2 linked regions of the Danio rerio genome follow. The protein of the gene in region 1 purifies or fractionates together with the protein of each later gene. This does not show direct contact. Links are inferred from orthologs where the notes say so. Each region holds a gene or a part of one and is shown on either strand. Other genes may lie near its edges.

Evidence for each region.
Region 2: the proteins of edc4 (region 1) and edc3 purify together in Homo sapiens (affinity purification with mass spectrometry; 6 studies listed by BioGRID and IntAct, with this or other methods). This does not show direct contact. The link is inferred for Danio rerio from reciprocal best matches to the Homo sapiens genes EDC4 and EDC3.

What each region holds. Positions count from the first base shown.
Region 1 is NC_133193.1:23,287,458-23,291,286, reverse strand, and holds part of edc4 (enhancer of mRNA-decapping protein 4), read left to right. Parts: intron 1-300; coding exon 301-481; intron 482-568; coding exon 569-635; intron 636-732; coding exon 733-824; intron 825-1,097; coding exon 1,098-1,288; intron 1,289-1,367; coding exon 1,368-1,444; intron 1,445-1,583; coding exon 1,584-1,707; intron 1,708-3,808; coding exon 3,809-3,829. UniProt on the Homo sapiens protein: In the process of mRNA degradation, seems to play a role in mRNA decapping. Component of a complex containing DCP2 and DCP1A which functions in decapping of ARE-containing mRNAs. Promotes complex formation between DCP1A and DCP2.
Region 2 is NC_133200.1:21,946,750-21,951,018, forward strand, and holds the start of edc3 (enhancer of mRNA-decapping protein 3), read right to left. Parts: upstream 3,091-4,269; 5' UTR 2,980-3,090; intron 2,748-2,979; 5' UTR 2,739-2,747; coding exon 2,575-2,738; intron 1-2,574. UniProt on the Homo sapiens protein: Binds single-stranded RNA. Involved in the process of mRNA degradation and in the positive regulation of mRNA decapping. May play a role in spermiogenesis and oogenesis.

The sequences.
Region 1 (3,829 bases):
AATTTTTTTAGACAAAAGGACTACATCAAAATGACAAAGCAGTGAATTGTAGGTTTTCTTATTTAGATTTCTACAGCAGGTCTGTCTTATGTTTTGGGAATTTCAGAAATGTTGCTAGTATTTTGATAGAAAGTCATGCATGCAGTATAACAGCAAATTAAAGGCATGGACAGTTTGCCAGATGCAGCGTTTGGCTTTTTAAATAGGATTTTTGAGTTTAGGCCAAGGTTGTTTTTAAAGTAAGCACTGGTGGTTTCTCAGCAGTTGATTCAGGTGTGTGTGTTTGTGTTTGATATGAAGGTATTGTATGTCATGGAGCTGCTGCAGGATCAAGAGAAAGGCCGTGCCAGTTTCACTGCAGTCTCAGAGTTTCTGCTCACACACCCTGTGCTCAGCTTCGGTGTTCAGGATGTTTCTCGTGCTCGCCTGCGCCATACTGAGGTCCTTCCTCCTGAAGAAGAAAGCGAAAGCATGACAGCAGGTCGGTTTTTCTCTTTGTTTTCATGTTAGCTTCATGTTCAAGTGAGTCATTCAAATGATTCTTGTGTGGTTTAATATCTTCTCACAGAAGGAAACCAGGGAACCTCTGAGTCCAGATCAGGAATTCAGATTAAACTCTACTGTGTGCATACAAAGTGAGAATTTCTTATCTAACAACAACTCTACTGACATGAAGTTTGAATTTTAAATGTGTAGCGTTTAATATGTTGTTATAACCTTCTTATGACACAGATCACTACAGGATGTGCAGATCTGGTTTCAGCCCAATCAGGGGGACTCCTCTTCACTCTTCATGCCTCAGTCTGGATCACAGGATGGGTTCAGTGAGTATGAAGTTTTATATGTTTATATTTATGTTCCCTAGATTGCCAATGCAGAATCTAAAGGGATATGACGAAAAATATTTTTACCTGCGGTTGTGGTTTGAATTTTTGAATTTTTTTTTCACACTTAAATAATTTAATTAATAAATACTTTTAATGTTAAACTTTAATATATTGCACATTTTAATACCGCAAAAAAAGTATTTAGGAGTATTTTCATGTTATTGGTTATGTATGTATTTTTAATGTTTGTTTTGTTTTTAAATTTTCCAGGTTTTTCTGACCCGCTGGCTGATCTGAATGTGGAGGCAATGAGCTCTGACAAGGAGTCTGGCGATAGTGGTTCACAAAATGACCTGAGTAAGATTCTGCCTCTTCCAAGTCCCGCTGACTTCATGAGTCCAGCCCCATCAGCCTTGCCCAAACTCATGACCCCGGATGCCTTCATGACACCCAGCGCCTCTGTAAGCTTTTACTATCTTAGCGTCATCCTTTAGGTTCCTTCAGTGATGAATACATTCATCATGGTTCTTGTTTTTTCAGATGCCCGCTTCTCCTGGCAGCAGTGCTAGCAGTCTGACCATTGTCACGGCCATGAGCAGCTCAGACAGCGGTGCAAGGTGGTGTATTTAACTAAATGTTTTCATAGTAAAACTTGATTAAACCTTTTAAATCTCATATTAACTTCACAATGTGCAAAAAATGTCATACCGTTTGTCATCTCCTGCAATCAAAATGCAATATTTTTTTTTCTTTTAGAGGTGGAGATGATCTGACTCAGAGCCCTAAAATGTCTGTTGAATGTGTCAACAGCAGTTTCGCCAATGCAGGCAGTCCAAGATCCAACTCCATCCTCATCTCAGGCCTTGGGGAAAACATCCAGGTACCAATGGAAATGTCATTCTCAATGTTGCAATATAGCGTGCCTCAGTAGGTCTTATCTTTGTTTCAGTGTAAGAAAGATGTTGCTTTACACCAGGTGGTGAGATCTACTTTTCTGCAGAGTTCCGCTTCAAGCCTGGTCACACAACTAAGTTAACTAAGTAGGATTTAAAGGAGCATTTGGTAAATAAAGAGAGGTGCATTTAATCAGGGTTGCAGCTAAACCAGGCGTGTCCAAACTACGGCCCGCGGGCCATCTGCGGCCCGCAATCAGTTTTGTGGTGGCCCGCGAGGCTTTTTATAAATAATAATAGAATCTGGCCCGCTATACAAAAATGAACGTAATTCAATAAATAACCACCGGGTGTCGCTATTACATGCATTCAATTAAGCAGTAGTTCTTGTTATGATCTATCTATCTATCTATCTATCTGTCTGTCTGTCTGTCTGTCTATCTACACACAGTTGAAGTCTGAATTATTAGCCCCTCTTTGATTTATTTCTTCTTTTTTAAATATTTCCCAAATGATGTTTAACAGAGCAAGGACATTTTTACAGTATGTCTGATAATATTTTTTCTTTTGGAGAAAGACTTTTGTTTTATTTCGACTAGAATAAAAAGCGGTTTAAATTTTTTATGAACCATTTTAAGGTCAAAATTATTAGCCCCTTAAGTCTTCAGAACAAACCATTGTTATAAAATAACTTGCCTAATACCTTAACTTGACTAGTTAACTTTATTAACCTAGTTAAGCCTTTAAATGTCACTTTAAGCTGTATAAAAGTGTCTTAAAAATATCTAGTCAAATATTATTTACTGTCATCATGGCAAAGATAAAATAAATCAGTTATTAGAAATGAGTTACTAAAACTAATATGTTTAGAAATGTGTGGAAAAAAATCTCTCCGTTAAACAGAAATTGGGGACAAAATAAATGGGGGCTAATAATTTAGGGGGGCTAACAATTCTGACTTCAACTGTATATATATATATATATATATATATATATATATATATATATATATATATATATATATATATATATATATATATATATATATATATATATATATATATATATATATATATGCGTGTCTGTGTGATGTATGTAAAATTTGGCCCGCGACAACGTTTGTTTTTTTGCATCTGGCCCTCGGCCCAAAAAGTTTGGACACCCCTGAGCTAAACTCTGCAGAAAGGTAGATCTCCAGGAACAGGGTTAAGAACCACTACTTTACACACTCCCTGTAGTACCAACACAGTACTTTATAAAAGTTTGGGTATGGTTTTTGAAATGTATGTCGTTATTAATCAAGGATGCATTCGATTTATAGTTCACTCAAAAGGAAAAGGTGGCTCACCATTTACCAAAACCTTTGGGTTTGATTTCCAGCTTTCTTTAAAATATTTTTTGTTGTGTTTCACAGGAAAAAAAATCTTAATCTGCATTTAGTGCCAGTAGAGGCTGAGTAAACTTAAATACAAAAGATTGCTTGAATTATCCCTTTAATTCAGTTAGTGATAATAGAGTTTATTGTTGTTACAAAAAAGTGGCATGTTTAGTAATGTTTTTACTTTTAAATAAGAGCTTTGTTATTTCATAAGCAAGTGTTGTCCAAGTGTACCATTGAATAATAATATTATATTTACTGAACATTTACTAAAAGGAGCAACAGAAACCTAACTGTTAAACACATTTTTATTATGCCCTATTTTTTACAATTTTTATCTGTAAAGATTTTAAAGAAATATTTTTAAATGTGAATCCTTCAGAAAGGCTAACTTTTTTTACCAAAAGTAAACCTAAACTGTTTTAGATTTTTAGCTTATGTATTATTTATTGCTGATGATGTCTTTTTGTTGTTGTAATTAAATTAATAATAATATACATATATAATCGCTGAATATATGTGACATTTAATGAATGTTGTAAATTTGATCTGGTTTTTTTATGGAATAGTCAGAGAAGCTGATCAGACTTCCTCACTCACAATATAAACTGTCAATCCTTCAAATTTGATTCCAAATCATTTACCAATTCTTCTGTTTATCTGGCATCCCTCTATCTCCACTTTTCCATTTAAAATCCCAATCTGGTTAGGCTTTCGCTCCCCCACTGGTT
Region 2 (4,269 bases), on another chromosome or scaffold:
AAAATAACATATAAAACCAACGAAACAAAAGACAAGCACAGTGATCTTGTAATATTTATTGGAGTTAATTTTTAAAAGATGGTAGTGAAACGAGAGTGCTGAGCTTTAAGGTCTCCTGCAGATGATTCCAAGCATCAGCAGCAGAAAACTGAGAAGAGTTGCGACCAAATGAAGTGCGAACGTTGAGTATGCAAAGGTTAATAAAACTATTAGAGCGCAGATTTCGACATGTTTCCTGAATTTAAGAAGTGACTGTAAATAAATATAGTGGTGTTTTTCCCAATAAGAGTTTTGAAAATTAACAGAAACCAATGAATTTGTTAAATTTGAAGCAAAGAATAATTCAGTAAAGAATACAGCTGACAGTGATGAATATTAAATGGCGCAAGAGTAACAAAACTATTTGCTGCATAGTAAATAACATTCAGTTTAAGAAGAAGAGTTTTTGAAGCTCATCTGTAAATTACATCCCCATAATCCAGAATTGGTAATACTGTTAATTTGAGCTGCTTTGAGGAATGTGTAAAGGAGGATTTGTTTCTGTAAAGAAAAACCAATCCAGGCTTTAACCTTTTACATGCTTTCTGTCAGCTTTTTTTAATTGAATAAATTAGTATTTTTGGAGATTTGGTGTTGCCGCCTTTTATTAATATTTAATTTGCACCTTTTGCGTTTTTTTGGCTGAGCACCCAGTTAAGAGGGATGTGCGTGCTTTTGTACAATTTTTTAAAAAGTAGAAGTACTGACTACACTTTTGTAATCAAGTAAAAGTAAAAAAGTAGCGCCTCAAAAATTTACAAAAGCAAAAAAGTAAAAAGTACCCGTTTCAACCACAGTCCAATGACATGCGGTATAGGTGAATAATAGGTAACTAAACTGGCAGTAATGTATAAGTTTCTCAGTGCTGGGTTGCCGCTGGAAGGGTATCCACTGTGTAAAACATATGCTGGAATAATTGGTGGTTCATTCCGCTGTGGCGACCCTGTATAATTCAGCAACTAAGTTTAAGGATAGTAAGTACCATAAAAAGCAATTAGTCCTCACATCCTATCGATACATTAATAAACTAACTTACATTTCTAATTCTTATGTAAAATTTTTGTTGGCAATTTTATGAAAGCAGCATCACACCCTGTAATAGGGTATGTGCCGAGCTGGTGTTTTTATTATACTGATAAACTTAAGGTGACCTGTTATTGTAATTTTTTTTTTCCCAACGTATATGGTTCCTTTTACAGCATTGATGATGTAATGTAATTAAAATACATTCAGTTAAATAAACTTTGGCATTCTTTTAGTTGATCAAGCTTAAAACGAGACAAAAAGCCGTTTACTCGTACGTGCCCATCAGAATCGGCCGGCATGTACAGTTGACCGGAAGCGTTTAACTCAGGTTACTGGCAAATTCAAAGTCCTATTAGCATGCTTCGGCATATACCCTATACTTTGCAACAACATTGCTCTAAAAGTCTGCTCATGTATGATCATCCTGACTCAAATTCACAGCGTTCATCATGTACTTTTGTGGCTGTTAGATCAAAAACAACAGCTGCTATTTATGTTCATACACTCTAAAATAATTCTGTAGGTCTGTATATCTTTATAAATAATTACATTTTACACAGTATTCTGTCCTATATATATATATATATATATATATATATATATATATATATATATATATATATATATATATACACAAGGCTCATCATATTTGACTGCAAACAATTTTTTTCCATTAGGCTAAAGCTGCTTTATTCTCTTTAAAAAGTAGTTCTCATACATAACCTGTTAATTCAGTGTTTTTATAAAGTAAATAAAGGAAACAAATGCATAAGTTTTTTTTTAATAAAGTGTTTGATTGTTTAAGTACTAAATGTACAAATCTTTACAAAAAAATCACAATATTTCCCTGTATTACAATAAAAGACCAGAGAAATCCTGTGCAATATGATCGGAAGGTGACAAAAGGGTTAAGCATTTTTAAACAGATATCTGTGTAAAAAAATGTAAGAAGTAAAAGTAAAAAGTTGTCAGAAAAAACATGTAGTGGAGTAAAGTACTGATATCAGAAAAATCTACTTAAGTACAGTAACGAATGTATTTGTACTTTGTTACTTCCCATCTCCGGAAGTAAGCGTCTATTCACACCACTAATTCATAAAAAAGGAAAGGTTTTGTAATATTTTTAAATAGCATAACGAGGCTTTTTGACTTCTTTTTAACTTTTCACTTCCAAAATGATTGGTTAACACTGACTTCCAAAGTTTCCCTCTGCTATAAGTCAATAACGACCACATTATTATTATTTTCAAATTAACTTAATTTGTGTTTAACAGAAAAAGGGAACTTATGCAGGTTTAGAAAAAAAGAGAGGTTGAATAAATGATTCTTATATATTCATTAACAAAAATCTAACAAACATTAACAAAATTCTACAACTCAAATTACATAAAGGGATTTCAAAATACCACACAAGTGTGGCTTAAGACAAATGAGACGAAAGTATCCATCCTAAAAACATCAGTAAAAATGATAAAAGACATAATAACACAGCTCTCTTTTATAATTTACCTGAAGGTAACCTCAGGCACAGTGCATTTGACTCCATTGTGGAAGGGGTTTCTGAGAGAGATGGTCTGACTGGTCTGATCCACTGAAGAAATCTCCCCTTGGTAGACTCCTAGAGTTGGTCCACAATGGATTGAAACAAGATTGCCAACCCAGTCTAATGCCATTTTGACCAGCTGAAATGAGATTCAAAGACGCTTTGTTAGTTGTCATGATGGTTTTAAATATACAGGTAACTCTTGAAGCGTTATTGGGCGTCTGAAGCATGAATACGAAGAATGTTTTGGAAGAATAAGTATTGAACGTTAGAAAGGAATATGCTAACGTTAGCCAGCTACATGTACAGCACGCAACGGGCTTATAAGCTAATTTTTCGGTTTTATAAAAATTGTAAAGTGAGTTTCTCACCTGTTTTCAAGGGCAAAACCTTTCAATTATACGGATAAGTTGTGTACTGTGATAGATTTGGATAAACTCTTCTAAAGAGCTCGACTACGCGATCGGCTTCTTCTATGAAAGTTGACTGAGTGAGGATCAGATTTGAATCTGTATTTACTGCCGCTTACTGGGCAACCGCCGAACTACATTGAGTTGCTAAAGAAGGCAGATATTTATTTTTTTGAAACTGTTAAATGATTATTATTCATTCATTTTTGTTTCTTTTCTTGGTCCCCTTATTAATCTGGGGTCGCCACAGCGGAATAAACCACCTACTTATTCAGCATATGCTTCATGCAGCGAATGCCCTTCCAGCTGCAACCCAACACTGGATTATTTTTAACAATTTATAACTTGCAGTTATTTCTCTCAGAATATTTTTACATTCTAAAATAACACATTTATATATTATTATGGTTGTGTTCATTAAGAAATTTAAATCCCCGTGAAATTAAAACTTATCAAATGATTTTATCAGCTCACATTGCTAGTTTTGCGGTGAACAATTCATCTGTGCATGTCATTAAGAAAAAAAAATCGTAATTTGTCATTTTTATCCCGTTTCTCTAGGAACTACGTCACATTACAAAAAAAAGCTTAAATCGTAGCTTCTGGTTCATGGGGACTACATTTTTTTAAACTGATTTTTAAAAAAGGTTGTCACTCACTCACTTTCCTTGTTTCTTTATTTGCCACAGCGGAATGAACCACCAATTACTCTGGCATATGTTTTACTCTTGCTGCCGCAACCCAGCCCTGAGAGTGTAACTCATGCAGTGCCCTGAGAATGTTACTTTAAAAAAACTAATTTAAATTTGAATAAATACTAAAAATAGAATTAAAATAGCAAGATACGCTTGAGATTTAGTTTTTTGATTTTTGTTAAAATTGTTTTGCATAAAATGTAATTTCTACTCTACTAGATGTCAACGGGTGTATTGAGATCATAATGCTGAAAATCTGTGTATACACAAATACAAAAATGTCAAATAATCTTGTTTAAGAATTAATTTTCTTTTCGACCTAGTCCCCTCATCAATCCGGGGTCGCCACAGCGGAATGAACCGCCAACTTATCCAGCACGTTTTTACACAGCGGATGCCCTTTCAGCCGCAACCCATCTCTGGGAAACATCCACACACACTCATTCACACACACTCATACACTATGGACAATTTAGCCTACCGAATTCACCTGTACCGCACGTCTTTGGATTGTGGTGGAAACCGGAGCACCCGGAGGAAACCCACGCGAACGCAG